Linked DNA regions of Rhinolophus ferrumequinum. The protein of the gene in region 4 interacts with the protein of the main gene of each other region in a pairwise test. Links are inferred from orthologs where the notes say so. Each region holds a gene or a part of one and is shown on either strand. Other genes may lie near its edges. The genes, in order: CPSF6, CHN1, RASSF7 and NCK2.

Region 1 (7,404 bases), on a different chromosome or scaffold from region 4:
GAAGTGAGATTGATAGCATGTGTGAACTATTTATGGATTATGGATTTTCCCCAATCATCAGGCCTTTGTCTACATGTTGTCATACCATAGGTGAAATGTGTTAGACAACCTTTGGGATGTCTGCTTAGCTCAAAGCAACCTTCTTTCATGGACAATTCTCCACCCTTTCCTAACTCACAGAGTAGAATTCTTAAGCCATGTTCTTAGTCTGTGACCCCTATCCCCTTCGACAAACTTCACTGGACTAGGAGTAGATTCCTATAAAAACTGAACTGATCAGTTGCTTACTCCTTAGATTTTTGCAATTGCAACCAAGACAGATGGCCATTTTCTTCAATGGTGGAGATCTGAACTCTGAAGTTGATGTTGCCATTGTCGCATAGCCACGTGCAAGGAAAGGCGAGTTCCTCTATACAGAGAAGTAGATGTACAGAGAAGCTTAGAAGGCCAGAAGCAGATATAGAGATAACCTTAGGACATTATTTACTTCTTTTCTAACCTCTCGACTACTCTTCTTAAATATTTTGATTTTATTATCGTTTATACCGTTTAGTGATGTCATTGTGGGAAGGGGTCCAGAGCCAAAGAATGTGAGAAAGACAAGAAAATGGACTCTCCTTTAGAGTCTCCAGAAAGAACGCAGCCCTGCGAACTCCTTGATGTTAGTCCAGTGAGATACATTTTGGACTTCTGACCTCCACAACTATAATAAATTTGTGTGGTTTCAAGCCACTAAATTCATTACAGCAGCAATAGGAAACTAATGCAGGTGGGCTAGAAGGAAGTTCTGCTGCAACAGTTAACATACCATTGTCGAATTCCTCCCAAGGCACTTTGGACTTTCAATTCTATGTAGGTTTGAATAATAGAATTTCAGAACTGAGAGGGACCTTCATGGACGACTTGAGGGAAAGGACTACTCTTAGGTTACTTGGCTAGTCAGTAGTAAAGCCAGGACAAGAACTCAAGTCTCCAATCTTTCATCTGCGTACATTAATAATGATAAGATGTCTAACGAAGACGTTGGTGCATGGAAGGTAGTCAATAAGTGGTGGAGTGTTTTGTTGTTATTATTATGCATTTTTGGTCATCTATAATGATATTTCATTTTTAAAACATCGTCAAGTAAGGAGGTACCCTGTGCTAAAGAACGAAAAATTCAGCTGAGTAAGTTTAGAGACCTACTTGGCTTTACTGAATGACTTATGAATTCCTCAGCATCCCATCTAGAAAAAAGAAAGGTGCTCCAGGAGCTGTATAAAATGGATGGCTTTTATATGTAGAAATGAGTGGGGGAGAAAACATTAAGAGTGAACTATTAAGGGCACCTCTTCTTAGCAGAAGGCAGGGGGTCTTATCAGATAGATTACCAAACTAGTGGTAACCAGGAAATTCCAGACTGATTGGTTTAAAATTTCACTCCTGAGAGAGGCTGAAACTGCAATGAAGTTAGGTATTATTAAGGCATGGTAGGGCTTACTACAAGTGACTCCATTTGGGGTCTGTTGTTTCTTTTTAACACCTGAAACAATATTTTAAAATTATCAAAAAGGTAACCAGGGAGCGAGTGAGGAATCACCTGGTCAAGAAGCAGAAGAGGATTGGGTCTATGCATTCAGAGTGCTTTTGCCCTGGGAGACATTTTTAGATTATTCAAACGATATGGTTGAGAGGTGGAGCTGCACTTTTGACATCTAGGGGAACAAAGTATAGAGTCTAGGACCTGCCAAGAGTGGTGACTCTGGTAAATCAGGTTTTGGGCTGGTCCTCAAAAGGACAGCACCTGGGAGGTAAAGGCAAGCCAAACTAAATTAGTTTCCTCAAGGTTCCCAATCATCTGGATGTGTTGGTGCCCCAAGGTACCTGCCAGAAGAAAATGAAAATCCTTTATTTAAAAAAAAACACAAAACCATCAGAAGTCTCACATTGTATCTTCAAGGGTTTCAATTAAAATGTCAAGCACACAAATATAGTCAGGTAAAAAGACAACACGAGTGAGAACCAGCATGAACACTATACAACAAATAACTAGAACAAAGAACCAACAACAGACCCAATGAGACTCCAGATACTGGAATTATCAGTGACCCAGATCGTATACCAATGATACCTGCTACATTCAAAGAGATAAAAGCCAAGATTGACAATTTTGGCAAAGAATTAGATGCTAACACCATAGGAGAGAAAATTAATAATATAGAAAATAGAAAAAAAAAATCTATTCAAAATGAAGCATACGGAGATAAAAGGATAAAAAAATAAAAAAGAGAAGGTAAGAGAAATAGTAAATAGTAAACAGAAAAGATATAACATTTAATTGGAGGCATAGAGGAAAGAAGAGAGATTGGGGCAGAAGCAATATCTGAAAAAGTAATGACTGAGAATTTTTCAGAACTCATGAAAGGCATCAATCAATGTATTCAGGAGGCCCAGTAAATCCCAAGCATTATAAATAAAGAGACATACACTTCCAAACATATATAATGAAAGAGCAGAACACCAAAGCCTGAGAGAAAAAAAATCTCAAAAAGCAGCCAGAGGGGATAAAACCCCCCTGATAACCTTCCAAGAAACAGCTACACTGACAGCTGACTTTTCACAGGTAACAACAGAAGTCGGAATCTGGAAATCAGTTTTAAGTACACTGAAAGAACATAAACTGCTTCTATCATCACATCTTCTCTGACTCTCTTGTTTTCTTTCACTTATAAGGATAATTGTGATTACTTTGGGCCCACCAGGAAAACAAGGATAATCTCATCTCAAGATCCTTAATCATATCCCAAAGTCCCTTTTGCAATGTAAGGTAACATATTCACAGGTTCTGGGGATTGGGATGTGGCCATCGATGATGGGCCATTATTGTGCCCACCACATTATCTCAAAACTGTCCCCATCTTTTATCATGAGTGGCTGTTCTACGAAGCCCCATGGAAAAAAGGAAATTAGTACAGTATTTCCAAGAAGCAAAAGAAGACAGGGCATTTTGCATACTACCTCATTTAAAACCACCATCAACCTTCAACCTTGACTAAACAAATATTATTACCCCTATTTTAAGGATTCTAAGGTTGAACATGAGAGAAATTAGGTAACTTGACGGAGGTTCACCCAGCTTGCAAAGAGTCTGACTAGAAATTTGTATCCAGATCACCAGATTGACGTCTATGACTCCACGCTTTTTCCTCCATACCAAGTACAGATATTGCTTGGTTCATCATTGTATGAATGATTTCTGGCCAGTTCATATCTTGGGAAACAGACTCTAATTTGGTGGGTTTTTAAATGAATGAAAAAGAAATTAAAATGGGGGGGGGGTCAGGTTTCAAACTGGAACGATATCTTTGAAGTATGGGTGGCAAGAGTTTTTTCTTTACTGAAAATGGTTAAATCACTTTGATTTTATTAAGGCCTTTTTTCCCTCTTCTGTAAAATGGGATGTTTAGACCTAGTAACACCTTGGTTCCCTTCTCACTGGGATATTTTGTGATTGTAAGAGAGAAACCTCTTGCCTCAAGGAGCCTGCCCCTTGTTGGGTGGGCTCTAAGCTGACTGCATTTAAATTAGAGGTATCTGAATTATTCCAAAGAAAACGAACGTCAGATCTAAGAAGGAAAAAATGAAGAACAATGAATTGGGGAAGAGGAGATGAAAGAAGATGACCTAAGACAGAGCCGGAAACATAAACAGCACGCAAATAACATAAGTCGCATGCAAATAACTCAAGCTAACCATCAACGGGTTTTCTGGCATTTACGAGGCAAATGAAACTCTGCTGGTCTCTGAGTAGGGATGCAGGGGTAAAGACCTTGTTCTCGCTCTCAAGGCGCTCGTAGAATGCGAATTTACACTTCGTATTTAATCGTGGACATGTAACTCCCACCTTTCTAGAAGCCCGAGCTGTGAGAAACAGTGGGAAGAGAAAATATTACCACACGCTTGCGTGTGCCTGGGGCAACGTGGAAACAGTCTCTGGAAACTGGGACGTCCCCCCGCCGCCCCCCCCCCGCCGCCCCCCCCCCCCGCGGCCCCGCTCTCGCCTGCAGGCCTAACCCAGACACACAAAAGAAACTGCCTCTACCCTCAGGGACGCAGTTTTTCTTCTGGGCCCGCCGCCTGGCGAGGTTGCACGGGAGACCGCTGCCCCAGGCAGCCCCCCTCCGCCCCCGCCTCAATCCCCCAGGCCTCGGAAGTGACGCAGCGCGCCCCGCCCCCGCCGCCAGATCCGCTGCTGCTGCCGCGGCGGGCGGACCTGCAGGAGGCGGCGGCGGCGGCAGCGGCCGAGGCCGAGGAAAAATGGCGGACGGTGTGGACCACATAGACATTTACGCGGATGTGGGTGAAGAGTTCAACCAGGTACGTGAGGGCCCCAGGCCTACGCCGCCGAAGCGGGCAGGGTTGCGGCCCGGACGCTGAGCCGGGCCAGTCGTGGGCTGCGAGCCGGCGCGGCTGCAGCCCGTGCGCCCTTGCCGCCCGTGGGCCGTGCCGCCCGGCTCCGGCGCGGCGTCCCTCTCGCCCCTCGTTCTACCGCGACGTTTCGCAGACCGAGGGCGGTGCGGCCAGCCGCGGGGGCCCAGAGCGCGGACGCGGGCCGCTGTGCAGCCGCCGTCGGCCCCTCCCTCGCCGCTACCTCGCCTCCCATTGTTAGCGGCGGCGGGCGGGCGGGCGCTTCCCGCCGCACTAGGCCCGGGCAGTGGGGCCGCGTGTGTGTGGCGGGGGTTCAGCACGGGTCGCTACCGCGCCCCCTCCCTTGCCGCCAGGTCGAGGAGCGAGCCCGGCGGGGCGCGCGCCGGCCCCCGCCTCTTCCCCGGCCTTGCCTGCCGCTCGGGCTCCGATTCCTGTCGTCGCTCCATTTTGTCTCCGTGTCCGCGCACGGTCGCCTCATGGAAGGCCGCATTCACCGCCCTTTGTATCCCGCGCGCCGGGTTTCCTGGGCCCTCCTGCTCGCGTTTGCGACAGGTTTCGGCGTGCCGCCTTTCTCCTCCTCTCCTCACACTTTCAGACGGCGGCTTGGATGTGGGCGCGTTTGCAACAAGTCCTTTGACTTTTGGACCCATGTAGATCCTTTAAAAGTCGGTGCGCTGGGTCCTGCCTCGATGGTAGAGGGCTGGCAGTGCCTTTGAGGCCCAGTCGTTCTTGGCCTTTCTGATGAAAATACCTGTGAAGATAGGTGGTCTGGGCAAAAGGAAGACTTAGAAGCGCGATGGTTGGATGGAACAGGAAAGATGGTAGCTCACCAAGAGATCAGTGGAGTGGTTAAAATAAAGAATGCCCACCTGAAATGCTTACGCTATAGTTTAAAAATAAAGGGATGTAGATGTGACCCGATTTTCAAAAGCAAAATGTTAGATACCCTCCAAGGGATCTGCTTTACATTTTGAAAGGGTGCAGAAAGTGAGAATGCAATGTTTTTCCGGTATCTCACAGGCCACCGTTGGCCTAGAACTAAGCCGCGGAGCTGTGATGTCTGATGTTGGGCATCCTTGCAAAAGATCTCGTACTAGAGCAGTGACGTTTAAGCTCTAAACCTGCTGTTCACATCTTTACTGTCTTTTATGTAGTAACACATTTTTAAAAATCAAATTGTGCCTAACTGCAGTGCACCTGAAAGCTTTATTTTTTGTATTTTCCAGGTCCGTATAAGAAACTTAATCAAATTCTACTGATTAATCTGTTTGTTTCTTCCTTTCCGTTAAGGATCTTATTTGTGACTAGGGGCTCAGGATGTGTTTTTTTTTTTTTAATTGCGCAAGCTAGTAATCCTTACCGCTCTTTTTTTCGGGAATGACTTTGTGCCCCTGGTTTAAATATTAGAAACAAATTTTCAGTTAGCTTAAATGTTTCCTACTCTGTTAGAGACTGAATATGTTTAAATGTAACCCAGTGTAATCAAAGGTTAAGCTTTAAAATTTTTGTTTTTATTGTGCTTATATTTTGAATATATGATGCCTTAATGGTGTCAGTGACAAATTAGAAAATTCTGGAGTGCTACAGTCAGATTCTAATGCTTTTAAGTCGGACATAGACTTTCAGGAATTTTTATTTATCAAATGAGTATAACATTTCATGCAAAAGAGGGCCATACCTCCATACCAAGTAAAGGAACAATTAAGTGTTCAAATCTCTTTTCATTAGATTTACTTGCAGGAATATACATTTGCTTTGCCTTTCTACCCACAATAAAGGAAAAATTGGTGTGCAATTTTAGAAGTTGAGCTTTCTTTAGGACCTCTCCATGAAATATATTTTAGGCTTTCATAAACTAAATTGGGGGTGGGCTTTTCTCTATTCCATATTGCTGTATGAAATGATACATGCTTATCTCTGTGCTGTAACTAGTGCTTATCTCTATGACTGAGCAGGAGGTAAGATGAGATTAGAATTTTGTGGCCCTAGTGAGGAATTTACTTCATATGGTTCTTTTTAAAATGTAACTTTGAAAAAAAAATTTATTTTCAATAAAAAAAATAAAATAACTTTTTGTTGACTTGTACCAATAGCATTATATCTCACACATAGTTGTATAATTTTACCAGTAAAATATTTGTACTTTTGGATAGATTAATGGGGGGATTAAATGGAAGCTTTGTTTTGTTATTTTGCATGTCATTGGCCTTTGTACTCTATTGCTTGCTGTAGCAATTCCTGTACAAAATATGGCCAAAACAAGGTTCATCCTGTTTTTTCAAATGTTACTATTATTCAAATAGTTTTCTGAATTTTCATCAGAATTAGAGGCAACTACAAAATTATTACTGATTAATTTGCACTCTATTAGCTGATGACCTTATTTGTATGTGTATAGTAAACATTCACTTTATTGTAGTTGAGTAAAATGTTTTACTAAGTATAACCAGTCTTGATTTACTTTAGCTTCTAAACTGCTGTAAACATTTAAAAAATTTTTTTGTTCTTTAATGTGAACTGCAGTTTTCATTGAATTTGTATACGTACTTTGAAATTCTCTGTAGAGTATGTATTTCCCATTTCTTCTATTTTAAATGGTCGTACTTTCATGAAGGTGTTTTTTGAGTGTGTATTTTGGGAAAGTACAGTATAAAGTGTAATGGAGACAGCTGGATAGCTCAGTTGGTTAGAGTGCCATGCTCTTAACAAGGTTGCCGGTTCGATCCCCACATGGGCCACTGTGAGCTGTGCCCTCCACAACTAGATTGAAACAACTACTTGACTTGGAGCTGATGGGTTCTGGAAAAAACACACTTAAAATAAATAAAAGTTTTTTTAAAAAAAGGTGTGAGACATTCAGCTGTCATAGAAGAAACTTTAATTTGGAGATGGGGTGAGAATAAGTTAATGAAACTATAATAAAGTTCCTTTCTTCACCAGAAGAACTTAAGAATGGGAATAAAGCTGAAGGGGAGAAAGCACATGGGACTGAGCTAT
Region 2 (7,416 bases), on a different chromosome or scaffold from region 4:
CAGAGAGCTTGCTTTCCGTTTCTCCCTAACATGTGTGGACACAGCTGGATGTCTGCAAGCCAGGAATCATCTCAAGATACCTTGGTCCCCACTTCCCAGCCTCCAAAACTGTGAGAAACAAATGTCTGCTGTGTGAGCCACCCAGTGTATGGTATTTTACTATCGCACCCAAGCAGACTTAAGACGATCGCCTAACCAACTAGCACACGCAAGATACACAAGGTAGAGTCCTGGCATGGGTTACTTTGGGAAGGCTTAGGTAGAAATCTATTGAGATCTGACTTTGATGAGTGGTAAGTTCCTTTTGTCTAGTTTCCTGTTCCTATCTTGTCTTCACCACCTCTCTCTCAGTCCCATCTCACAGAAGTTTAATTATCTCATTGCTCCTGTGTTCTAAATTGGTTATTAAGAGTAAATATAAAGGTGCTGAGTGTGAAGCAGAGAAAGAATTAATTTTTTTAAAAAGAGTAAAAATAAAGGGATAGTAGGTACTCCTGACTAAGACCAACTAGTTATATACTAGTAATTTCTAAAATAAAATCCATTTCTTCTAACCCTTGAAGACTGCTCTTAACATATACAAAAGCTATTTAAAATTGGACAAGTATGAGGACAAGTAGTATTTATCTTTAATACAGTGGTTCTCAAATTTGAGTGTGCATAAGAATCGCAGGGGAGTCCCTTGAAAATCCCCTTTCCCCAGAAAGGCATATGCTGTAGGTCTCTGGGCAAAGGAATCAACATTTTTAACAGACATCTCAGTGACTAATGAGTGGAATGCAACCACATTTTTGAGAGCAGCTGCTGCTCTATCATTACTGAAAAAATAGCCTCTACACACAGGTGTACTTTGCTTTATAACGGAGAAATGTTCTTAAAAATTGTTAACCAAATTTGATTTTGTAAACTAAATTCTATTTTCCCACAACTTTGAAATTTTAAAGATAATTTATTCATTCTGAGGGGTGGGAGTGGTTTCTCATACCTTCTTCTAAAGGTAAATTCCATGTTCTTCCTTTCCTCATCTCCACTTCAGGAGTTAAAGATTTAACAATTTCAGAATCCTTTTAAGAGTCTTGTCACACACTCCACTTCTCCCCAGTTTATCTGTTTTATTCATCAAGAATGTCAGTATTCTAAAAGTGGTTAATTTGTAAATGTACCTTTGAAAACAAACCTTGAAAATGCAGACTGTCTCTTTAGGAAGGACAATGATTTAGTCAGAAATAGTTTTAAAGAGAAATTGACTTCTGGAAATCTTACTGCTATGTATTAGCTACAATAGTGTAAGATAAAAGCTTCAATAAAAGAAAATATCAACTATGAGTAAAGCCTTTCATCATTTCTAACTTTTGTACAAAAAAAGTCCACAGTTAAGGAAAATTAGTCTACTACCTAAGTAATGCAGATTAGATACAGTGTACTGAAAAACACAGTGAGATTTTTACTACTTTCAGAGAAAAAAGAAACATGTTTTAAAACACCTCTGGAGAATCAACACTAAATAAGAAATGTCATTTCTAGTACTGTGGGTATTTGGGCAAAATAAACACAGCCCCAGACTGAAGACTGGCAAATTGTGTTCTAAGCTCAGTTTTGCTACAAAAGGGTCATGTGACCTTGGTAAATAACCTCTCTGGGTCTAAATTTAATTTATAAAATAAGATGGCTAAATAAAAGTAACTTTGATTCCAAGAGATTATTAATTCACTCTTAAGTATTTACATCAAAAAGCATTTGTGGTAGGTGATGCCTATAACTGATCAAATGACATTAAAACGTAACTGGAAACTTGATACTTTAATTTACTAAGACTGTCCTTGTAAGCTATCAGTTACATATCATTGTACATATCATTGTACTTTGTTTCTTTGAAAAATTGTATACTTTGAACATCTAAATTTTCACATGCTGTATGTATTGAATTTTCTTAAAGCAAGGTACATATGTACTATAATCTGTTTCTGTAAAAGGAAAGAATGTATCTTTTCAGTCCTTTCCAATCCATTGTCATTGCTGACTCCAGGGAAAAAAAAACAAAACCTTGAAGTCTTAACCACTGAAACAATAGTGTTGCAGTAATTACATCACAGAAATAACATTTCTTTCCTGAAATGCTGAAATATATTCTCCTGAGATTACTTACTTCCAGTAACCAACTTTCTTCTGCTCTCATATTCGTTAGGGCAAACATGTTCTATTTTAACAAATACTAAGTTCACCACTTATTCTAGTTTACAAAGGAAAAGACCGAGTCCAAAAAACTGCCCCCAATTCCAACAAGAATCAACACATGCATTTGGCAATTCCAGGGAGGGTGGGATGCACAGATACCTTGTCCAAAATAAATAAACTTTCCAGGATCTTTATTTACCGACTTGACAATCGTAGGTTTGGAAACAACCAGCTAACTTCGCTCCCAAGTTGGCATCTTAGAGAATCCTCGGTTTACAAAACACCCAGGACCTCAGAGCCTCCCATCCCAGAATTGGCCAAGGGAGCACACGCCCATCAGCGCTGCCTGGAGAGGAAACAATGGGAGAGGCGCGAGGGAGCGAGCCCGGGGCCCCCGGGGCCCCAAGTCCACGGCCCCAGCCCGCGCGCCACAGCGCGCGCGGCGTCCCCTCCCCGGGCGCCCCACGCCCCCGCCCCGAGCTCCGGGGCGCGGCCCACCTGCGACCGCGCGGGCAAAGGGCTGCACTTACCAAACAGGGTCAGGGCCATTGTACAGGCGCTCGCCAGCTGCTCGCCGCCGCCGCCAGTCCACGCGCTCCGCCCAGGCCCACCCGAGATCACGGCATCGGCCCGCCGCGCTCACCTCGGAGGGGCGTGGTGGGAACGCCGGCGCGCGGGGAGGCTGCAGGCCGGGATGCCGGGGGCCGCTGCAAGAAAAAGTTATGTACGCGTTAGTGTCGGGCGCACCGGGCCGGGGGAGACCCGCTAGCCCTCGGCGAGCCGGCACTTGTCGCTGCCATCGGGGCACGACGCGGAGCGCGCGCGGGCGGCGGTACCTGCCAGGCGGGGAGGCTTGGCTGAGGCGCAGTGGCGGGCGGAGAGGCGGCGCCGCAGTGGCGGCGGCGGCGGCGGCGGGGGGAGAGGAGCAGCCTCGCAGAGCCCCCGGCGGGGCGCGCTCACTCCGCATCCCGCGGCCTCGCCGACGCCATCTTGCGATAGTGTCTCCTGCTGGATCGGCCGCGGCGCCTGCCCCTCGGGCGGGCGAGCTGAGTGCGTTCCCATGGCAACGGGCGCGCGCGAGGGCCGGGGGCGCGCGCCCCGCCAGCCGGGGTCCGGGAGGAGTGTCCCCCGCCCCGCGGCAGGCGGCCTCCTGGAGCCCGGCGGGGGCGGGGGCGGTGTGCCTTTTCGCTGAAAGCCCAGGGTTTTTTTTGTTTTTTTTTTTGAATGGCATTGGAGAAGGCGCAGAGAGGAGAAACACGGAGCTGCTACTTGACAGAGGAAGAGAGTCACGCGTGAAGGCTCCATGAATACAAGGACCCCACCAGGGTCATCTGGGGATCGGGTTCGTTTGAGGATATGTCTGTCACTCCCTTGGCGCCCTTGGGGTTAAAAGGAGAGTCTGGAGCCTGTGACCTGAAGCTACGTGACTCAGGAAGGGAGCCTGAAGTCGGACGGAGGGAGGCACTGCATGTTGCTTTCCATTCCATTTGGACTTTAAGAGCCGCAAGGAGTAATTCTGATCAGATTGTCATGTGTGAGGGAACAGGAGTCGGTTAAAAAGCACCTGGGATTTACTTAAATTCTTACAAGGTCAATGTTTAAACCTAATTTTCTTCCTTTTACTTTACACCGCTTTGATATTGTCTCAGGGAAAACCAACATTCCTCACTGATTGGCACTTCTCCTTTACCACAAAAGATTGCTCCCCTGAGCTTTTTGCATTTATCTGAGAATCACTGGCAACATCCTTCTTTCTGTGATGTTCTCTGCTGGCCTCTGTCTCTGCCTTAATTAACAAGAAGCTATGTAACGCCTTGAGATTATCAGTCAAAAGATGTTCTTGAAAAGCTTACGATTTTTTTTGTCGTTTGCATTTAATGTATTCAAAAATTCAGTGTTCTCTCATTGCTGTATTTGTTCCCTGTTTTAAAAATTCCTCCTTGTTTCTTGTGTCTCTGCTTATGGATTTGATACTGTATCAGCATCTAACCTTGAGATTTTTCTCTTTGGTTCTCATTTCTTCCTACCTGCATCTTTCCTCTTTCAGTTCCTCAGATTCCCTAATGTCATTTTCCCCTTCTAATTTTCAATTAATTCTGTTAAGGATATTATATAAATAGGTTGTATTTAATTTATCTTGAGCATCAAAATCATTATAAAAATGAAAATTACTACTTCAAATAGAACCACAGTTAATTCATCATCATTTCACAGCTGACTCAAACATCAGAAAGAAAAAGAAAACCGAGTTAGAAGGAGGAGTCAAGCCTTTTGTTTCACGTCAGTTAACTCAAGAAAAAAGACAGTAAAATAATTCAATATGAATGGGCAAATGTTTAAGATGCTATAGGCTTGAAATTTTCTGATGTAGTAAAATGGCTCTCCTTTGGCCAATAATATCAAAATAAATCCTGAAATTCCCCAGAATTTTCAATCTTTAACGAAAAGGACTCGATTTTTTAATAGCTTTACTGCTCATGAAAAATTACAAATGCACAGCTCATGAAAATAAATGAGAAACTCCACAAGGCTTTGTGGGACAGATTTTATAACTATATAAAGACTGCTGCTGATTTGACTACAACCAGATAAATCAGAAACTGAAGACACCATTTACTGTCTCAACCAGTGGTCTTCAATCAAAGAAGGGTGAAGAAACCTAAGTTCCCTTCCAGGCTCTAATGAAAATACTGTCCCTCTTCCTGGAAAAATGTTTATGTGCATGTAGACTCACCCAAATTTGTTCACACTATTTCAGGGGGATTATGGACTATTCCAGGATCCAAGGATAGCCCCCAAATACCCTTTATAATCTCAGAAAGTTTTGCCTTTATAATTAACGCTTTTAAAAATTCCCCCTTTCACATAAATACATGGAATTTTCAAGAAGGGACCAAACTACGCCAATTTACAGATTAGGAAACTGAGGGCTCAGCAGTCAAAAGATTTTTCCCAAATGTGTCCATCTATTTAGTGGCAGAACTAACAGGAAAATCTTAGGCCATCTGTTGTCCTCCCTGACCACTTCCCCCACCTTCCATCCCCCGCCAATTTAAAGAGTATGTGGTTTAAATTTAAAAAGAAAAATCTGTTTAGTATCAGAAGCAGAGTAGCAAGGGGTGGGAGCGGGGTATTTTGTTCTGAGCCATTTTGTATATTTGGGTCTTGTAGTTTGGGAAGTTGAATTTTGTTTCAAGGAGTCTTGATTCACAGGCTCCTCTACTCAGAACGATGTGTCCAATCAGGCTAGGAGAGGAAAGGTGCTTCTCTTTGTTCAGCTCTGTTAGAGAGGTACCAGAGCATCAAAGTGTTGGTGTTACACCTCAGCTTGCTGGTAATTCTCTCTGTCCCTTGGGGGTTATCCTTGGGGGGAGGGGGGTCAGAGGGAAATTAATAGTCCTGTGCTCATCCTCACACCTCCATCATAAAGCCAAGCTTTGGTTACTGGAGCAGCTTTGCACTCACTAGTTGTGGCTGATCACAATTGAATCCTAGTTATAGACTCAGCTTCAGTTCAGGTGGGGACCTTCTTCCCTTCCCCTTCCTCTTTTCCGTACAAGTCTCAGCACTCCCATACCCAAACAGACAAGCTCATCCCTAGAGATGTTTTTAGGATACTATTTGAAACAATACAGCTGAAATGTTGCCATGTTTCCCTTTTTAAGCATCTAGCTTTCCACAAGTAATTCCTTCCAATTGATTTCCTAATGTTTTGATGACCTAACAAAATGCTTTCTATACTTGATTAAAGTGCTATGTCTTGAAAATCTTATTAGTTTTTATAACACTGTATCATCCAATGAGAAATAGAGTGTGTTTCTTTTCACACTTAGCTGGAAATAAAGCAATAGCCTTTCCGCTACAGATTCAATGTAAGGAAGGGCGTTAACCACTTGGGGGTGATTATTATGGGTGGTGCCTTAGATTGTTTATTAAAAAGGGCAAAGAATTTATTGATTTTTCAAAACATTTATGGTTTCATTCAAAGATTTAATTTTGTGCCTGACACGCAAGCATCTAGAAGAGCTAGGTTTGTTTGCTCTGTTACTAACTAGTTGTTAAATTTTTAGGCAAATGTTTTACTTTTTCTGGTTATCCTCCTCCTTTATAAAATGAAGGGATAGGACTAAGTTATTTCTAATGTCTCTTAAGTTTAGCTGTCATTCTTAGATGTTTTAAAATATTTCAATTAACTGAATTATGGGTAAAACAAGACATTTTTATTTGACTATTCAATATATTTAAAGTGCTGGTAAATCTTGGAAGTCTGAGAGACATAAGTTACAGTTTCATAAATACCTAGTGTAACAAGGAAGTCAAATTTTATTAAAACATTGTTACTGCGATTTCATCTGCAGTATTTATACTAACATATTTATTATATAAAAAGCAATCCCTTTAAAAAGGATTGCTTTTTATATAATAAGGATTAAAATGTAAAGTATGCACTGAACAATCCATTTCAAATTTATTAAAATGGTTTCTCGTTTTTATTTAAGTTTTGTTGACCAAACAGAATTTAAATAAGCCTTAATTTTTTTCTACATTTTGACTTAGCAACTTATCACAAGTGTTTTGGGGTTTTTTTGTGTTAGTCATTTAGCTTCGTTCCCATTGGTAAATATTGATTTGTTCCTCAGTTTTGAATGAAGTAGAAATTAATGAGGCATTTTCTGCCTCGCAATAACAAGTTAAAATTATAGCACTTCATCATGCCAACACAGCTTTAAACACTAGGAATACCAGTGCTATTAGCACAGTTCCCAAAATAGGGCATAAGTTTGCTGTTGAAGAAAAAAATTAGAGAGCATTTCTGCTAATGTCATAAAAACATTTTCTATTCCTCTGCTATGCTGATTAAGACTTAAATTATTTATTAAAAATATTCACAGTGTGACATTCTCTCTATCCTATACTTATTTATATTACCAGTGGAAGTATTTATGTCCATACTGTGAATTTGTTTAGAGTGAATTTGGTCTGTTTTTCATAATGTTTTCCTCAAATGCTTAAGCCAGATGGGTTTTTCCCCCTCTCTTTTATCTGGGGCTTTCCTAATACATACTCTACCTGATATTTGCATGGCCTGCCATGACAAGGCAAACCTACATACATAGTATTAGAGGCAGCATTTGCCTTGAACATAAGGATTTAGACCATGAAACTATTTAGGAAAAAAGAATATTTATGTGATAAGCTATAAAATTGGCCTTTAAGCTTAAATAATTCAAGTTATGTTTA
Region 3 (8,167 bases), on a different chromosome or scaffold from region 4:
TGCCCAGGCCCTCTGAGTGGGTTTCCGGGAGATCCAGGGAGAGGAGGCCTGTCCGTGAGAGGGACCCCCATATGGAGCACCCACTGGGGACATCTGTGAGGCCAGCTGGCCTGCAGCGCCCTGAGGGTCCACGTGGGAGAGGAGCAGCAGGGGGGTCAGATTCAGGGCAGGAGGGGTGGCTGGCCCCAGGGGCTGAGGGGTGCAGAGGCATAGTTCAAAGTACTTTTTTGGGGGGAAGGTTGAACCAGAGCACGGAGGGCTCCAAGAGCACCCTAATCCCTGGAGATGAGACCAGAGAGCCCCCCCGCCACAACCTCTTTGTGGGTACAGAGAAGGCCTAGAGGTTGCTGACCCCGTTTAGGGCTTTGGGCAGAGATCACAGCCCTGCAGGACAGAAGGAAGGAGCCAGGGGAGTTTGCCCCACCCCACCTGCAGGCTCTGCCTGTGAGCCCCTGTGGAAGCTCCTGGCCTGCGACTCTGTCTGCTCAGAAGCATGTCCTGGTGCCCAGGGCGGGTGCCTTGTCACATGCACTGGAAACCTCATGTCCCGCTGGGGGTTGCTAGAGTCAGAGTCGGCGCCCCCCGAGCTGCTGGTGTCCCCCAAGCTGCTGGTGCCCCCCAAGGGCAGAGAGCTCCACTCCACATTCTTGAGATGCCGCTCCATGTGTTGTGTGCACAGCTCTGAGCCCTGGTCGTCCGGTGGTGAGGCTGGTGGGAGTTCTGGGGGCAGCCATGGCCCAGGGTTCCTGTGGGCCACCATTTGCTCATTGGCCTCTTGGCTTCACTCCTGGACCCCAGCCCTGCCCCCATCCAGTTTTCCCAAGGCTGGCAGAGCACCCCAACTTGTGGTCCCAGTCTCTAGGACCCGGCCCGGGAAAGGGCTCATGGCAGGACACAGAGAGCCCAGGAGCCTTTCCCTGCATCCCTGTTCTACAGATCAGAACACTGACACTTGCAAAGTTCAAGTGACTTGTCCAGGGATACTAAGGGTGGAACTTGGACTCTGGTCCACATCGGCCAAGGCAAGCCCCCCCTCCTGGGGCCCCTGAGGGTGTCCCTGTCCAGCCCAGTTACCTGTGATCCAAGGTCAACTTGATGTCAGTCAAGAGATTGGGGTATCGATGGGCGATGCTGTTCCAGTCCACATCCTCCAGCCGGAAACCCTGGCCGGGACGCACGCAACAGGCATGTGCCCCCCGCCCCCTGCATGCCTGCAGAGCCACGAATGAATGTGGGGGACATTGCTCACCTCCCAAGCAGAGGAAACCTCATCACTCTCAGATAGGTCACTGAGGTCCATTAGGGTCTCTGCAGTCACCACCTGCAAGAGGGGGCCCGGAGGCCAGTGGGCAGGGCCTGGGAGAAGGGCACCACTCCCTGCAAGTCACCCCTTCCCTTGGACCTGAGGCACACAATGGCTAAGTTCCAGGTGGGCAGGGCCAGGGGCTCCATCCTCCCTGTCCCAGGCACCCTGGCTATCAGGGAAGTCCAAGGAGGTCTGGGAAGGGGACGTGGGTGAGCAGCATGGACCCGGTGCACAGGCTCACCTCCACGCTGCCAGTAGACGACCGCAGCATACGGCCCAGCCAGGAAGAGCGAGCCAGATGCAGGAGGCAAGACTTGTGCAGGGCCTGCAGCTCAGCCTCCCGCTGCTGGAGCACGGTGCTGGTTTGCAGCAACTGCTTCTCCAAATGCTCCTTCTCCTGCTCCAGTGGGGTCCAAAGGTGGGTGGGGCCTTCTCAGACCCCGCCCCCAAGACCAACCCTGGCCCAGCTTCCTGAGGCCTCACCAGCTGGGCCTGTTTCTTCTGTTCCTTTAGCTCCACAGTCAGCTTCTGGACCTGGATCTGCAGGAGCTTTTCCTGACCACAAGAGCTCCTGGGAGAAGGGGTGATAGCGCCCCCCACCTCTGGGTCAGCAGCCAAGGAGGGCATAGAGTGTGGCTGGGCCAGGTCTGGCCAGGCCTGGTCAGGCTCTGAGAGGTCTGGGTGGAATTCAGCACCCACATTCAGGGTTATGGTCTGGGCAGGTTTACAGTGTATCAACTTTTTCACAGTTAAGGTTGGGGATTAGGGTCAGGTAAGGACTAGGCCTAGAGGCAAAGGTCAGGGTAAGGGTCAGGATCAGTTGTTGGGGTTGGGGTCAGGCCAGGGCTGGGGGACTAGTGTTTCTCTGCTGACCTCTCGAGTGGAAGTCCAGCCACCTCCTGCAGGATGTGGCCATGCCGGGCATCCCGGCAGTTCTGGAGGGCACACCGCAGGGCCTGGATCTCCAGCTCCCGCTGCCTCCACAGCAGCCGCAGGGTGTGGGGGTCCAGGCCCTCAGGGGACAGCCTGCAATGCCCGCAGCCCAGCTGCCTGATCAGGCCCTGCCCTCTGGCTGGCCTGGCTCAAGTGGCCGACCGACCGCCCCTCCATCCCCTCCTTACTGCAGGTTGATGGAGACTGCTGGTGTGGAGCTTGGCTTGGTGTCCTTCAGGTATGTGGGAGTCACCAGGTCTGCAGGTGTGCCAGCTGGAGGCCCCAGATGGACACTGACTGGCTCCCTGTCCACCAGGGACGAGAGAACACCTTCCTTGGCTTCTCCAGCCTTTTGGCAAGACTTGGGGGCCATTCTTGATGTTCTTGGAAGAGCTGAGGGGTGGTGGGGCTGTCTGCCTGCGTCCTGGGTACCTCTGCGGGGCTCTCCTTCCATGGAGGCCCGTGTGTGTTTGGTGGGGTGTGGGTGTGGGTGTGTGTTTCAACCCCATAGGACACCAGACTGCTGGTCATGTGGGTGACCACACCTGTGTGTTTCTGACCAGGCCAGGGCAGCAGGTTACACCCCCAGGCAACATGTCCCTGGCTCTCTACATTCCCTGTGGTCTCCTCCATCTCACCCTTGCCCTCTGGGACCTGAGGTCCTGCCCCAGCCTACAGCAGGGGTCCCCAGAGGTGCTGGTCCTTTACCCTCCACACCCATGTCCCCCCAGACCCAGAGCCCTACCCCCAGCACTCACCTGAAGCTTGAAATCCAGGCAGGCCTGGGGAGAGAAAGGCTCTATGGCGTTGCCATGGATACCAGCACCCAGAAGGGGAGGGGCTGTTTGTTACCAGGAGCCTCTGGGGAGACCCCAGACCAGGGCCCACCTCCTCCTCCTGGGGGCTGGTCCAGCCTGAAGTAGAAGCTGTGAGAAGCTGAGCTGCTGCCCAACTCATCTCCACAGGCCCTGGGGACCACAGAGTGGCCAGCAGGGCCTGCCATGGTCAGCGCTCAGCCCAACACCCCGAACCAACCCTGAGGGAGGCTCCCAAGGTCCCTCCCCAGCCTGACCATGGCGATTGATTGTGTGCATTGCTGCTCTGTGTGTCCACGAGCCAGCAGGACCTAAGAGTGCAGGTCTCAGTGGGCCAGGCTGATGAGCTGAAGAGGAAGCAGTGGACAGCCCTGGGGAGCTGGGGGAGGGGCCTGCAGAACTCTTAACTCCCACCGGAGTGCCTTCCACAGCCTCTGCTCATCCACAGCCTCTGCGCTGACGCTCACGCCAGAAACCTCGCCTTCCCCTGTCCATCTCCACCACCCGGACCTCCGCAGGGTGCCCTGGGGACATACCCATAACCATGACAACTGTTCCCTCTACCCTGAAGCAAAATTGAGGCCCCAGACCTAACCACAAGTGCCCTCCAGCCTTTGCCCCCCACCTCACATTCATTCATTCATCATTCCTTTATTCAGACTTTCAATTTCTGTTCCTGTGGGGCCTCCTGTGCTGGGCAAGATGGGGGCAGGACAGGGGCAGGCCGGGAAGACCCCCCACAGGCCGGCCTGACCGTGGCAAACAGGCTCTCAGTGCCGTCCAGAACATTGAGACTGAGGGGCCACAGCCGGTGAGCTTGCTGAGGCTCTCCCATGGGACAGCAGGGCTGGCCAAGCAGAGGAGCGTGTCCACAGCTCAGGAGGACACTGGGCCCCACTGGGGACAGGAAAGGGTTGGGGGAAGGAACTTCACACAAGGAGCCCAGGATCTTTGTCCCCGGCAATCTTGGGGCGGGCCCCCTGCCCCACAAAGGCTGTCAACCTGATTGCAGCCAGAGAGGGACAGCGGCCCACCAGCTCCACCTCCCCTCCTGGGGGGCTCACAGCCCCACCCCCCGAGCCCTGTGTGTCCCGACGACGGCCGCCGCGGGCCCTGAGGGAGCGGGGTCGGAGGGGCCCATCAGGCAGGGGGCCCTCTGGGCTCTGGCGGGCTTTCGGGGTCCCAGGCCAGCGTCCCCTCCCTAGACAGGAGACTCATCAGAATGGGCGGCTTCCGAGGAAGTGGGCCAGGGAATGGGGCCAGACACCTGCCCGCGAGCTGCCGGCTGGGACGCGCTTCCGCGTGGTTCGCGGGCTTCCGGCGTGAGTGGACCCGGAGTCCGGGCGGGAGTGGACCCGGACTCCACCCGCCACTCGGAGCCGCCAAGCCCCGCCCACACCTGGGCGCCGCCGGGGGCGGGGCGGGCGGGAAGCCAATGGGGAGGGGAGGGGCGGGCACATAAAAAGTGGCCAATGAACGTGGGCGCGGGCGGGCGGGGCGCACCGAGGAACCAATGGAGGCGCATAGGGCTGGGCGCACGGGCTGCGGGCCAATGGAGTGGCGGGCCGGGGCGCTCCCGCTGCGCGGCAGGAGGCAGGTTGCGACCGCGCCGGGCGCTCTAAAGGAGCCGGTTCGAGTCCAGATCCCGGAGGCCAGCGGGAGACCAGGTGAGCTGCGCTGAGACGCGGAGCTTGCTAAGTGCGGAGCCGACCTGGGCGGCAACTTCTCCCGTGGGGACCGCTCCGCACCTGCACCCGCCCCGCGGCGGGGTTGGCGGCCTCCGGGGCGAGCGCAGCGATCGGCGGGAGTGGGAAGGGGCTGCCTGCGCCAGGCTCGGTGGGTCCGGACCGCCGAGGTCTGAGTCGCGGGGGAGGGTGCGTTCCTATGGCAGCGGGGTGCCGAGTTCACGTGCCGCCGCCTTTGGGTGCCTGGGGACGGCACCCCGCGGGAGGGGCAGTGCCCTCCGCGCCAGGTGACTGGAGGGGCAGGAAGTCCTGCATCTGGTTAATGATTCGCCTTGTTCCGGGAGTGGGGCGGGGCGAGAGGAGCTACGGAGTGGGAAAGCTCCCGAGTGCTCCGGGAGGGCGGCTGGTTCCCCCTTTGGAGGGGGGCTGGTCTTGACTACCCCCACCCCAGGAATGCGTGGCCCGCGGGTAGGGCTAGGCACCGAAGAGCAGGGCGGCTGCCCTGATCCAGTTCTGGGGGTGAGGGGCAGGCCTGGAAGAGCAGGAGACGAGTACCAGGCTGTGGTGGCGCTAGGCAGGGCTTGACCCTTTGGCCTTCGCCTGCAGTCAGGGATGCTCTCAGGACCTGCGGCCATGGAGCTGAAGGTGTGGGTGGACGGCGTCCAGCGCGTGGTGTGTGGAGTCTCGGAGCAGACCACCTGTCAGGAAGTGGTCATCGCACTAGCCCAAGCTATAGGTGAGTCCCCTCAGGGACAGACAGGCCCAACAGGTGGACCTGGGGTAGGGCCTGGCCCTCTGGCCCCCGTCTTCTCCCAAGGAGGGTGGGACCGGTTGCTGATCCCTCTTGCTCTTCCCCAATACCTGAATCCCAGTGGACTGGGTGGGGGGATGTAGGCTGACCCCTCTCCCCCACCCCAGGCCAGACGGGCCGCTTTGTACTGGTGCAGCGTCTCAGGGAGAAGGAGCGGCAGCTGCAGCCCCAGGAGTGTCCAGTGGGTGCCCAGGCTACCTGTGGACAGTTTGCCAGTGATGTCCAGTTTGTCCTGAGGCGGACAGGGCCCAGCCTCGCTGGAAGGCCCTCCTCAGACAGCTGCCCACCCCCTGAGCGCTGCCCAATCCGTGCCAGCCTCCCCCCGAAGCCGCGACTGGCACTGAGCCGTGAGCCCCACGAAGCACTGACCTTCATCAACCTGGGCTCCAGCCCTGTGCTGCCCGAGCCTGTGGCCCCAGTGGCCCCCGTGCCAGGCTGCTGGGCAGACCTGCAGGGCCTGGAGCGGAGGGTACAGAGGAACGCTGCGGAGCTGGGCCAGGAGGCCTTCTGGGGGCAGGAGCTGCGGAGGGAGCAGGCGCGGGAGCGTGAGGGGCAGGCACGCCTGCAGGCGCTGAGCGCAGCCACAGCCGAGCATGCTGCCCGGCTGCAGGCCCTGGACGCCAAGGCCCGCACCCTGGAGGCCAAGCTGCTCCTGGCCGCAGAGGCCCCTGGACCCCCATCGCCCACAGCATCGGCCGTGGAGCGCCTGCGCCAGGACCTGGCTGCCCAGGAGCGGCAGAGTGCGGAGCTGCAGGGCAGCTTGGCCCTGGTGAGCAGGGCTCTGGAGGCTGCGGAGCACGCCCTGCAGGTGAGCTCACGGGATCTCAGCCCTGACTCGGGGCACTGGGGGGTTAGCTTCTGATCACACAAGGGAGAGCACCAGGCCTGGAGCTCCATGACTGTGCCTGCTGCGGTCCCATGTGCTCCAGGCCCAGGCCCAGGAGCTTGAGGAGCTGAACCGGGAGCTGCGTCAGTGTAACCTGCAGCAGTTCATCCAGCAGACGGGGGCTGCACTGCCACTGACCCCACAGCCAGACAGGGCTCCTGGCACACAGGTCAGTGGTTCTGGAGGGAAGCCGAGCCCGTGGGGCACCCGCACACAGCTCCACACTGACCTGCTCTCCCCATAGGATCTTCTGCCTCCAACCAGTGAAAAGCCCCTCCTGGGAGCCCCCCGGAGTCCTGCCCTACTGTCCAGTCTGAGCCCAGAGGGTATGTCTGTCTCCCCCCCGGGGTGGGAGGAGGTCCTCCTGTGACTCCTCAGCCTCTCAGCCTGTGTCTTTTCCACAGTTGTCCCCATAAGGCAGAACTCCTGGAGGTAGCAGCTTCTGCCCCAGAGGAAATGCCCAGTGCCAGCCCACCCCTGGGCTCTGATGACATGAGCGATGACAGCTGAGGCCAGCCCAGCCTGGACAAGAGAAGAAGAGTCGGTGGTCGTAGAGGACTCCTTCCCCCATGCAACTGGAAGCCCTCATGCCCTGGGCCCGAGACCTCGGATCCCTGAGGTTTCTGCTGCAGGAGACAGGGGGAGGCTGGGGACTCTCGCCTTAATCCTTGCCAACTCTGCCACACCCCCTGGAGAAGCTTGGGGCATGGCCAGCTCAGAACTTGCGAGGCCCCAAAGGCCACGGTTCCTTTTGGGGATGGCAGAGTCGTGGACACTGTGTTCAGTCTGTGGGGATGTGCTCACGTGGGAGATTTCTTCACCACATGTGTGCATGCTGCCTCCCCCACCGCGACACTCGAACCTCAATAAACTGCCGACAGTGATTTGACTGTCCTGAGGCCACACTGGGCAGGGTCTGTGGGGTCTAGCCCTTGAGACTCCACTCAGGGTGCCTGGGGAGTATCTGAGCTGCCCAGGGCTGGCCACAGCCAGGGCTCCTGAAAAGGGGCTCTCCCAGGGTCAGTGGCCAGTCAGATCCAAGACTGGTGCTCCCAGGGCCTCACGTTTCAGGCTGTTATGCCCACCCACCCTCAGGGGCTCTCCTCCACAGCCTGACCTGCCGCTGGACATGGGTGGTCTGGGGCCTGAAGAAGCTTCAGCCCTGGCTTAGGTTTCTGGATGCCTCCCCCACTGGCCTGCTCACCAGCAGCACAACTGCCGCCCACTCTGGGGTGGCTCCTGGACGTGAGGACTCGAGGACACACCAGACTTGCCTGTCAGGTTGACTGAGTCTGTGAGCTCGTGGGCGGGCCCAGGGAGCTTTGTGGGCCCTGCGAGGGTGTGGCTGCCACTCTGCTCCCCAGGTGGGTGGGAAGCCTCTGCTGCGTGGCTGCAGCCTTGGAATCAGGGCAGGTGTCCAAATCCGTCCTGACCTTGGCCAGGCTGCAGGCTCCCAGCCTCCCCGCCCCGAGGGCTGTGGCTATGATTGGAATTTGTGGGGGATCTCTAAGCCTTGGGTGCAGCAATGGGTGGTATTGAGAGACGGAACGGGGACATGACAGATCATAGGGGGTCTTTGTGCTGTTTTGGGGTAGGCATCCTTGGGATGGAGTCAGCCTTCTCCTGGGGTGGCCCCTGAGTCGGGCCCGGTGCTCCCCACTTCTTTGGGGCAGACCATAGAGGACATGAAGTTCTAAGCGTGAGGATCAAGGAAGCTAAGAGCACAGCTTG
Region 4 (7,646 bases):
GGGGGTAGGGCTACAACTTGCTAACCTTCATAAGCATACATACTTGGGGATCCGTTCAAAGAGAAATGCAGAAAAAAACATCTAATTTTTTTAAATTGTGTTACCATAGTGGCCTAAAGAAATAGAAAAACTATTTTTACTTTAACTGCATACTTGTGATAACCCATTAAAAGGATGTGTTGACCTCCTTCTAAGTCGCCTTAGTTCGAGCATTTAACAACACACGACATGGTATCATTTTTAGCTGAGGCCCTTTGAAAACATGCCATGAAGGGTTTCCATCACTCATTTTAGTAAAGGAAACAATTTGGAAACCCCATCTGCAGTCCCTCCAGATGGGAAAACTAATTTCCCAAGCCTCTGGGGTGAGTTGTGGGGAGTTTCCAGTTAATTTATGAAAAAAAAAAAAAAAAAAAATTGTTAGCTTACTAGTTTTCCCAAACATTGTCCACTGCCCTCCCGTGCAGTTCCAGCAAGCAAGCAATCTTCAGCTTTTCAGTCAGTCAGCCTTATTTTTAAAGTCAGAGAATTGTGTCCACAAGCCCTCTCTCCCCAAGCGTATGCTGCAAGCCAGTTGGGGCAGTTAGAAGCGTGTGTGTCCCAGAAAGCGACACAGCCTCATCTTGCCAGGGCAAATTAAGCAATGCAAATGATCAAGTAAAGGATTCAGGCCATTTGGGCAATCGGGGAGTCTTTAGGGTACTTTAAAAGGTTATCCAGTTTGTGTACATACAAGGAAGTCTTCTGGTATATTTAATGTGGATGACAGGGCATTTCTCAAATACTGTGTACATAAGACCTGCTGCTTGCAGCAAAACCTCCATAACCCCCCCAACGCAAATGACAGAGGTTGGAAATGTGGCAGGCTCCAAGAGATCAGAGATAAAGAGGCTTTAAGCATGTTGCACGTAATAAAGCAGAACTCAAAGCCTGAAAACTGGGCACAGCTACTTGAAATGCACCTTTAACCAGCTCCGCCCATTTAAAAAGGGCCAGTTTCTCCACAAGTGGGCACAGGGGGTGATAGAGTAGTCAATTCTTCTGATGGCAATTTGCCACACTCAATTTTCTCTTTGTTCCATGATCAGTCCCGGTAAGTGTTTATGCCCAACCTGAGAAGCTCAGAGTCCAGGTGAAGCCTCCAGGAGAGGAAGCTGAGTCTAGCTCCTCCAGAAGCTTACCACAGTTTGAAGCTCTTAATTTCAGCCTCAAGAGATGCAGCCAGAAGACCACTAAGATCCGACTGCTTTCTTCAAACAAGACTACATCTAACCGACCTCGAGGAGAGAAATATTAAGGTAGGATTTTCCCTTGTGGTCACTGCTTCACTATCATGGTTAACACCCATTCTCGGGAAATCCCTGTTCCAAACACTAAAACAGCATCCCCGGCGGCCCCATCTCTGGGCTAAGTCATTTCTACTCTGTATCTCCACTGACTGCCATTCTCTTTATGTTACCACATGTGCTTGAATCCTGTTACTAATTTACCGGTTCACCTAGGAGCACTAGGTAAGTGAGTTAAGGGAGTGTTCAGAAGCAAAGTTTACATCTGCTCTGATAAGTTAAAGCAGCCCAGGTCAATTTCAATTTTCAGTTATTTTAAGACTTGAGAAGCACTGTTGCTAATGACATCAGACATCAAATGCCATGCAATGAAACACACCCTGAATTACTCTCATTCCGACCAAAATCCCTTCTGAGAAGAGGGGAGAAGCCAAGGCTGCGCCTGGACCAGGAAAGGCCTCCCCTACCTGTGCGCCCCGGTAAGCCACGCCCACGGGCCTCTCTGGCTTCAGTTTCCTTTTGGGTCAACGGAAGGAGTGGGCCTACGCGAAGGTTTAGGCTCCTGGGTCCCAGCCCTGGGGCCTGCTCACCCCATCGTGCAGACAGACACAAACTTGGCAGATTCAGCCTTAAACCTGTTGGCAAAATAAACAAAGCTAAATAAAGGGGGAAACTGCCAACCTGAACTGTCTGAAGCCACAAGGGCCGACTCCACACACGTTCGCGCTTTGTCCCTGAAACTGTTACAATGCTAGTTAACAGTGGGTTCTAGTTAAAGTTAGGTGCCTGATGTTCATTAGCCAATGACCCCTGGCATCTCGTGCAACCTTTCAAGGCGATCGTTATTGTCTACAAATTAAGCGTTTTGCAAGCTAAACCCCTCCACACAACGACATGCTACCAACGCTCACACAGGAGTTTACCGTCAATGCCTTAAAAGTCACACACGAAATTCTCCCAGAACCACTTGGTGGTTAAATCGCCCTGAATAAACCGAGAGGGCAGAGCGTGGTGAGAAACTTTGTTTCAGGTGGCTGTAAGAGTCCTGTAAATCTGGGGCAGGACGCACAGGCTGAGACCCGGCACAAAGCGCCCTTCGCCCAGGCGAGGACCTCCTTTATGCGATGTGACAGCAGCTTTGTGCGGGATCATAAATAGTTCCAATAAACACAGTAAGTTCTCCCCGCCGCGCTCCGCCTCCCGCGTCCCGGCGCAGAGGCCAGGCAATCAGCGGCTATTCTTCCCCGGGACTCCCGCCCCGGCCACCCCGGCCACCACACAGTCCCACGCCGGCCCCCGGTTCCGGGCCCGTCGCCGGCCCGCAGGCCGGGCGCTCCTCGCGCGCCAGAGGGTCTCCAGTCCCGGGAACCCACCGCCCAGGCCCCTGCCCCCGCCCGCGCCCTTGGCGCCCCCACCCCAGTGCCGGCGTCCGGAGGATGGGAGCCGGCAGGGGGAAGGTGCGGAGTCCGGCGCTGCCGGCAGTGCGGGACCACCGGGCCAGGCCGCGGCGGGGCCGAGGGCACCGGTGGGGCGCGGAGGGGACCGGTCCCCCGGCCCCTTCCCGGGCGCGCCCTGACCCGCGAGCCCGCTGCGCTCCAACTCTGCGGAGCCGCCCAAGTTTGCGGCCCCCGCCCCGAGGCCGCCGGCCGCGCTTACCTTGCCGCCAGCCGCCCGCCGAGGCCGGAGGGCAGCGGCGCGGGTCCCGGGGCGGCGGCCGCGCCCGCCCAGGCGCCGCTCTTTGTCTGCGCCGCTCCCTCCTCCCGCCGCTCGGCGGACGCTGCCGGCCCGGCCGGACCCCGCCGGCCCGGGCCCCGCGAGCCTCCCGCCGCCAAGCCTCCCCGCCGCCCGCCGCTCGCTGGGCCGCGCGGCTCCGGCCTGACGATCCCCGCGGCGGCGGCGGCGGCGGCGGCGGCGGCGGTGGCGACGACCCCTCCCCCGGCGCGCGGCGCCCGCCCCTCCGCGCTCCTCCCCTCCTCCCGCCGCTCCTCCCAGCCGCGCGGTGACACCGCCCAAGGGCCGGCCTCGCCCGCGCACAGGCGGGAGCCAGACCCACCTGGGGACGCGCGGGCAGCTTGTGGGCCCGCGCGCGGCCGGACTGAGAACGGCACCGGGACAGGACCGCGCTCGGGGACGCATAGCGCGCGGGGCGCGTGGCCGGCTGGCTACCAGGAGACCTTTGGACGCACCGCGGGGTGGGGGCCGAGGAAAGGAAAGGGTCCCTTCTCCTAAAACGGCTCGCTCGGGGGTGGGGGCAGAAGTGGGGTGAGGGAACAAGAGAGGAAATAAAGGCAGCAACTTCCAGCCTCCGATGACCAGTGGGTGGTCTTTCCATCCTCTTTTTGTTTGTTTGATTTTCTTATCACGATGCCCCCCTCCCGGAAGCATTCCCACGCCTCTCTACGCAAAGCAGTCCTGTTGTCCATCAGAAAAGTGACTTCCATAAAAATGTCACTTCCTCTCTGTAATTGCTTGTGGGCATTTTTATTTATTTGCCTTGTATCTATTTACTTTCCCAACCAGACACTTTTTTACTCCATCATTTGTGTCGGAAGCACTTCTGAAGAGGAGAGGAAACTCAATCTCTGCTGCCTCCCTTCCAGTGTCTGGCTCAAGCATACCCATGGGTCAGATTCCTGTAAGGAGCTGAGGGAATGTGGGCTCCAAAAGGTAGTGGGACTGGTCGGGTCACCTGGCCACACGTAGTGGATTACCTATACACAAACGTGGGAGATTCAACCCAAGAGGAAGGGAACAGACACAAGGTTCCCTTTCACAGGCACATGCATCCAGATGTCTGTTCCCCCAATCTCCTTCCCATATGGCTTCCCAAAAGGAAACACTACTATTCAAATAACTCTGATTTCCTGGCAGAGTAGCCAGGATCCATACTAATGAGATTCTTTCTTAGGCTCCTGGCTTCTCATTATTATTAAGGCAATACCAATTTACCCAAGGTGGCATCACAGTATCATTTGAATCCCTCATCCCCTGCCTTGTGCCCAAAAGGAAGTACCAGAAGAGGGTAAGTAGAGCCAGTATGACTTTGAAGTCACCGTTTAGTGTTTGACTATCTGCTTCTTCAACTGTGGAACCTTGCACAAGTGTTTCTTAACCTATCTAAAATCTACTAAATGGGGAGATAACACTGGCCTTGCTCCCATGTAAGTCCCTGGCACACTCCCTGGCAGCAGGGCGCATTCCACTGGCCACTAGAGAGAAGGAGGTGCATTGTGAGCAGGGATGGGCCCAAGATCAGGGAACAGGGACAACCTCCTTCTCCGTTTGACCTTGGGAAAGAAGCTGCCTCAGTTCATCCTTTTGGGAAAACCTTTCTCATGCTGATAAGGAAAACAGAAGGATATCAGTGGTCTGACCCAATTTTAAATTAGTTTACTCAAAATAAGTATAACAACATTGACCCAGTTTTTAACTTGTCTCCTTTGTAAACTTTCATTGAATCATGGGTCTTGAACTCCTCTTCCTTTTCTGATTCTTTGTGAAGTCACCAAAGACATTCTCTATCTAAACCCCTATGCCCCTTTCTCAATCTTTATCCTATGAAGTTTTCTGAAGCACAGGGCATTTGTGCTATTTCCTAAAACTTGGTTATCTTTCCATTTATCTACCTTTCTGACCCACCCAGCTCTGTCCAGTTACAAGACATGTTTTCCTCCCAACCTCTAACAGTAATACCCCAAAGCAGACTTTGGCCCTTTGTTTTTATTCTGATGTACGCCTTCTTTTTAAAAGAGAGTTGATCATTTTTTGTATGCTTCCAGTCTGGATGTCTCCGGCTCCCAGGTCTGTTGCCAGCTTATCTACAGCCCGTCTGCGTGGCTCATCATCTCTTCAAGCTCATCACACTCAGAATGAAACACATCTCCTTCCCAAACTAGCTCCTCCTTCCACGGTCTCCGGCTTGGCCAAGAATCCACCAGGCTTCTCAGCTCCCAGGTGAAACCTCATTTCCATTCTCTTCTTCCGTCCCTCTCTCCAAGCACTCCCCAAGGTCAGTGAGGAGAGGGCTCTAGCTGACCTTGGGATCTCTCTCAATCTCAATTCTTATGGTTCCGAGTCCTGGTGATTCTTAAACATCTCTTTGCATCTTTCTTCCCATCTCCAATGTCACCTCCTAATTTTTACATGATTACTAACAATACTTACAATCTGTTTTGAATACATATATCAGCTCTAACTCACACACAATAAATAGTATTATCCTCACTTTACACATGAAAAAAACTGAAACGGTAAGTGAAGGAGCTGGAATTAGAACTGCACGTACTCCAGAACTCCTGTTCTTTCCACTACACCCACTACCTTCCACCTGGTCTCCTATCAGTCACTTCCTCCCTTCCCCCACATTTATACTGGATGTCAATGTCATCCTAAAAATTGCTTCTATCTTGCCCCTCCACTGTTCAAGAACTTCCCATGGCTCCCTATTGCCCACCTAGTTTCTCAAAAGTTTCCTGACAGCACAGGGCTTGAGCTTGTGCTCCGAGGAAGGCCGAGGAATTGAGCGCCAGGAGGCCTGTGTTCTTTACCTGGGGCTGCTTTAACAAATTACCTCCAACTGGGTGGCTTAAAAAAGAGAAATGTATTCCCTAGGAGTTCTAGAGACCAGAGTCTGAAATCACACTCTCTCTGCAGGCTCCAGGGGAGGATCCTTCCTTGCCTTTTTCAGCTTCTGGTGGCGCCAGGTGTTCCTTGGCTCATGGCAACATCCCTCCAATCTCTGCCTCTGTCTTCATCTGTCCTGGTCCCCTGTGTGTCCTCTCACCCCTTCTGTCTTCCTATAAGGACACTTATCATTGGATGTAGGGCCCACTCAAACCCAGGATGATCTCATCTCCAGACTCTTCCTTGTAACGTCGACAAAGACCCTTTTTCCAAATAAGGTTGAATTCACATGTTCCAGGTGAGCACATCTTTTGGGGCCACCATTCAACCCACTACAAGACCAGCATGGGTAGACATTTCTTTGAAGATGATGTTTGATCTGAAAATGTGTATGTTTATGCATCCTCTTCCCTTACTATGCCCATGTTTGTTTTACTAGTAAAATGTCTCCAATAATGAAGTATTGAAAGTACAAAAAATATAAACCTTTCCCCCCAAGTCACATCCGCGTTAAATCCTGAGATTTATCTCCCAGGGCTTCTCAAACTTAGTCCTTCTATAACCATCTCTTGGTTTACCCTGCCCCAATATAAGTTACTTGCTTGGGTCACTGTGCAACCCCTACTGTATGTGCCCCACTTGGTCACACTGATTTCCTCCTCCAACTGTGCAGACACAGCAAGGGATTCCCTGTGCCCCTCTCTTCCTTCAGTTCCATTCAAGCCGCCCTCACCTCTCCTTGGACTCACGGGAAGCCCAAGGTGAGGCTGAAGGCACTGTGTCAGCCATTCTTGAGAGGCCCGCAGCCTACATGTATGCGAATCTGGATCACTTAACCTCTCTGGGCCTGGGATAGCGAAGTACAGAGTTGTGAGGATTAAATGAGACAATGTAAACATGTCTCGACTGCGTGTTTAACACATGGTAAACACTCCCATCAGCTGTTTCCTGGCCTTCGATCTTAACCCTCAATTCAATTGAACATATTGAGTATATTTCTATTTGTAAAGCATAAGAATCAATTCAGGAGAAACAAAGATAACCTGAGTTGTAATCTCAGAGGAAGGATAAGACTAGTATATAAATGAGTACAATATAAAGCTAAATATGAAAAGTACCAAACAGAACATGTTCGGAGAAGCAGAAGTAGCTTTAGGTTTTAAGTGGTGGCGTTAGAAATGGACTTTGAAAGTTGCTGACACGGTGGGAAGCTGCTGTGATTTGGCTGGGCCATACCAGCCCCCTTCCTGGTTTGGGGAGACCTTTTGTTTGACCTTGGCAGGAGGCAGGCAGAATGGGTCCTCCATCTCTCTACTCTCAGAAGTCCTATGAAAGTGAACGGCCTGGGACTGGCCAGTAGAACCCTCCCAGTCAGGACTTTGAAACTGGAGAGGGTGGCAAAAAGGAGGGAGGATGAGGTTTGGTTTGCTCTTGCTGGAAGGGCCCTAGCGCTTTCCCACAGAGGTCATTAACATGCTTGGTTCTCCCCACTTCTCCCACCTTTTCCAGCCCCCATGCAGGCTACTTTATATTCTTCCAGTAAATAAATACCTCTTCTGCTTAAGGTAGCCAGAAGCCCTTCCTCTTCTCGCAACCGAAACCCCTGAATGATACAAACTATAGACTTTTAAAGGGGGGGACAGACAGGGAGGAAAGTCCCAGTTGAAGGAGTTTAGAAACCTGAGGACAGAGAGCGGGGTGTGGAGGACTCCATGGAAACAGGGAATGCCCTGTCTG

The links.
Region 1: the proteins of NCK2 (region 4) and CPSF6 interact in binary tests that used the Homo sapiens proteins (3 or more experiments, as listed by UniProt). The two-hybrid records come from large-scale screens. The link is inferred for Rhinolophus ferrumequinum from reciprocal best matches to the Homo sapiens genes NCK2 and CPSF6.
Region 2: the proteins of NCK2 (region 4) and CHN1 interact in binary tests that used the Homo sapiens proteins (3 or more experiments, as listed by UniProt). The two-hybrid records come from large-scale screens. The link is inferred for Rhinolophus ferrumequinum from reciprocal best matches to the Homo sapiens genes NCK2 and CHN1.
Region 3: the proteins of NCK2 (region 4) and RASSF7 interact in binary tests that used the Homo sapiens proteins (3 or more experiments, as listed by UniProt). The two-hybrid records come from large-scale screens. The link is inferred for Rhinolophus ferrumequinum from reciprocal best matches to the Homo sapiens genes NCK2 and RASSF7.

Annotation. Positions count from the first base shown.
Region 1 is NC_046293.1:65,272,695-65,280,098, forward strand, and holds the start of CPSF6 (cleavage and polyadenylation specificity factor subunit 6), read left to right. Parts: upstream 1-4,172; 5' UTR 4,173-4,296; coding exon 4,297-4,356; intron 4,357-7,404. UniProt on the Homo sapiens protein: Component of the cleavage factor Im (CFIm) complex that functions as an activator of the pre-mRNA 3'-end cleavage and polyadenylation processing required for the maturation of pre-mRNA into functional mRNAs.
Region 2 is NC_046291.1:50,264,754-50,272,169, reverse strand, and holds the start of CHN1 (N-chimaerin), read right to left. Parts: upstream 3,116-7,416; 5' UTR 3,012-3,115; intron 2,883-3,011; 5' UTR 2,725-2,882; coding exon 2,706-2,724; intron 1-2,705. UniProt on the Homo sapiens protein: GTPase-activating protein for p21-rac and a phorbol ester receptor. Involved in the assembly of neuronal locomotor circuits as a direct effector of EPHA4 in axon guidance.
Region 3 is NC_046294.1:318,913-327,079, forward strand, and holds RASSF7 (ras association domain-containing protein 7), read left to right. Parts: upstream 1-5,065; 5' UTR 5,066-5,192; coding exon 5,193-5,207; intron 5,208-5,345; coding exon 5,346-5,475; intron 5,476-5,657; coding exon 5,658-6,358; intron 6,359-6,479; coding exon 6,480-6,605; intron 6,606-6,680; coding exon 6,681-6,762; intron 6,763-6,840; coding exon 6,841-6,872; 3' UTR 6,873-7,330; downstream 7,331-8,167. Other genes in the region: LMNTD2 (lamin tail domain-containing protein 2), read right to left, coding at 1-48, 430-746, 1,075-1,163, 1,250-1,321, 1,548-1,703, 1,790-1,877, 2,180-2,332, 2,428-2,512 and 1 more. UniProt on the Homo sapiens protein: Negatively regulates stress-induced JNK activation and apoptosis by promoting MAP2K7 phosphorylation and inhibiting its ability to activate JNK.
Region 4 is NW_022680445.1:376,010-383,655, reverse strand, and holds the start of NCK2 (cytoplasmic protein NCK2), read right to left. Parts: upstream 3,066-7,646; 5' UTR 2,943-3,065; intron 1,863-2,942; exon of another isoform or gene 1,754-1,862; intron 1-1,753. UniProt on the Homo sapiens protein: Adapter protein which associates with tyrosine-phosphorylated growth factor receptors or their cellular substrates. Maintains low levels of EIF2S1 phosphorylation by promoting its dephosphorylation by PP1.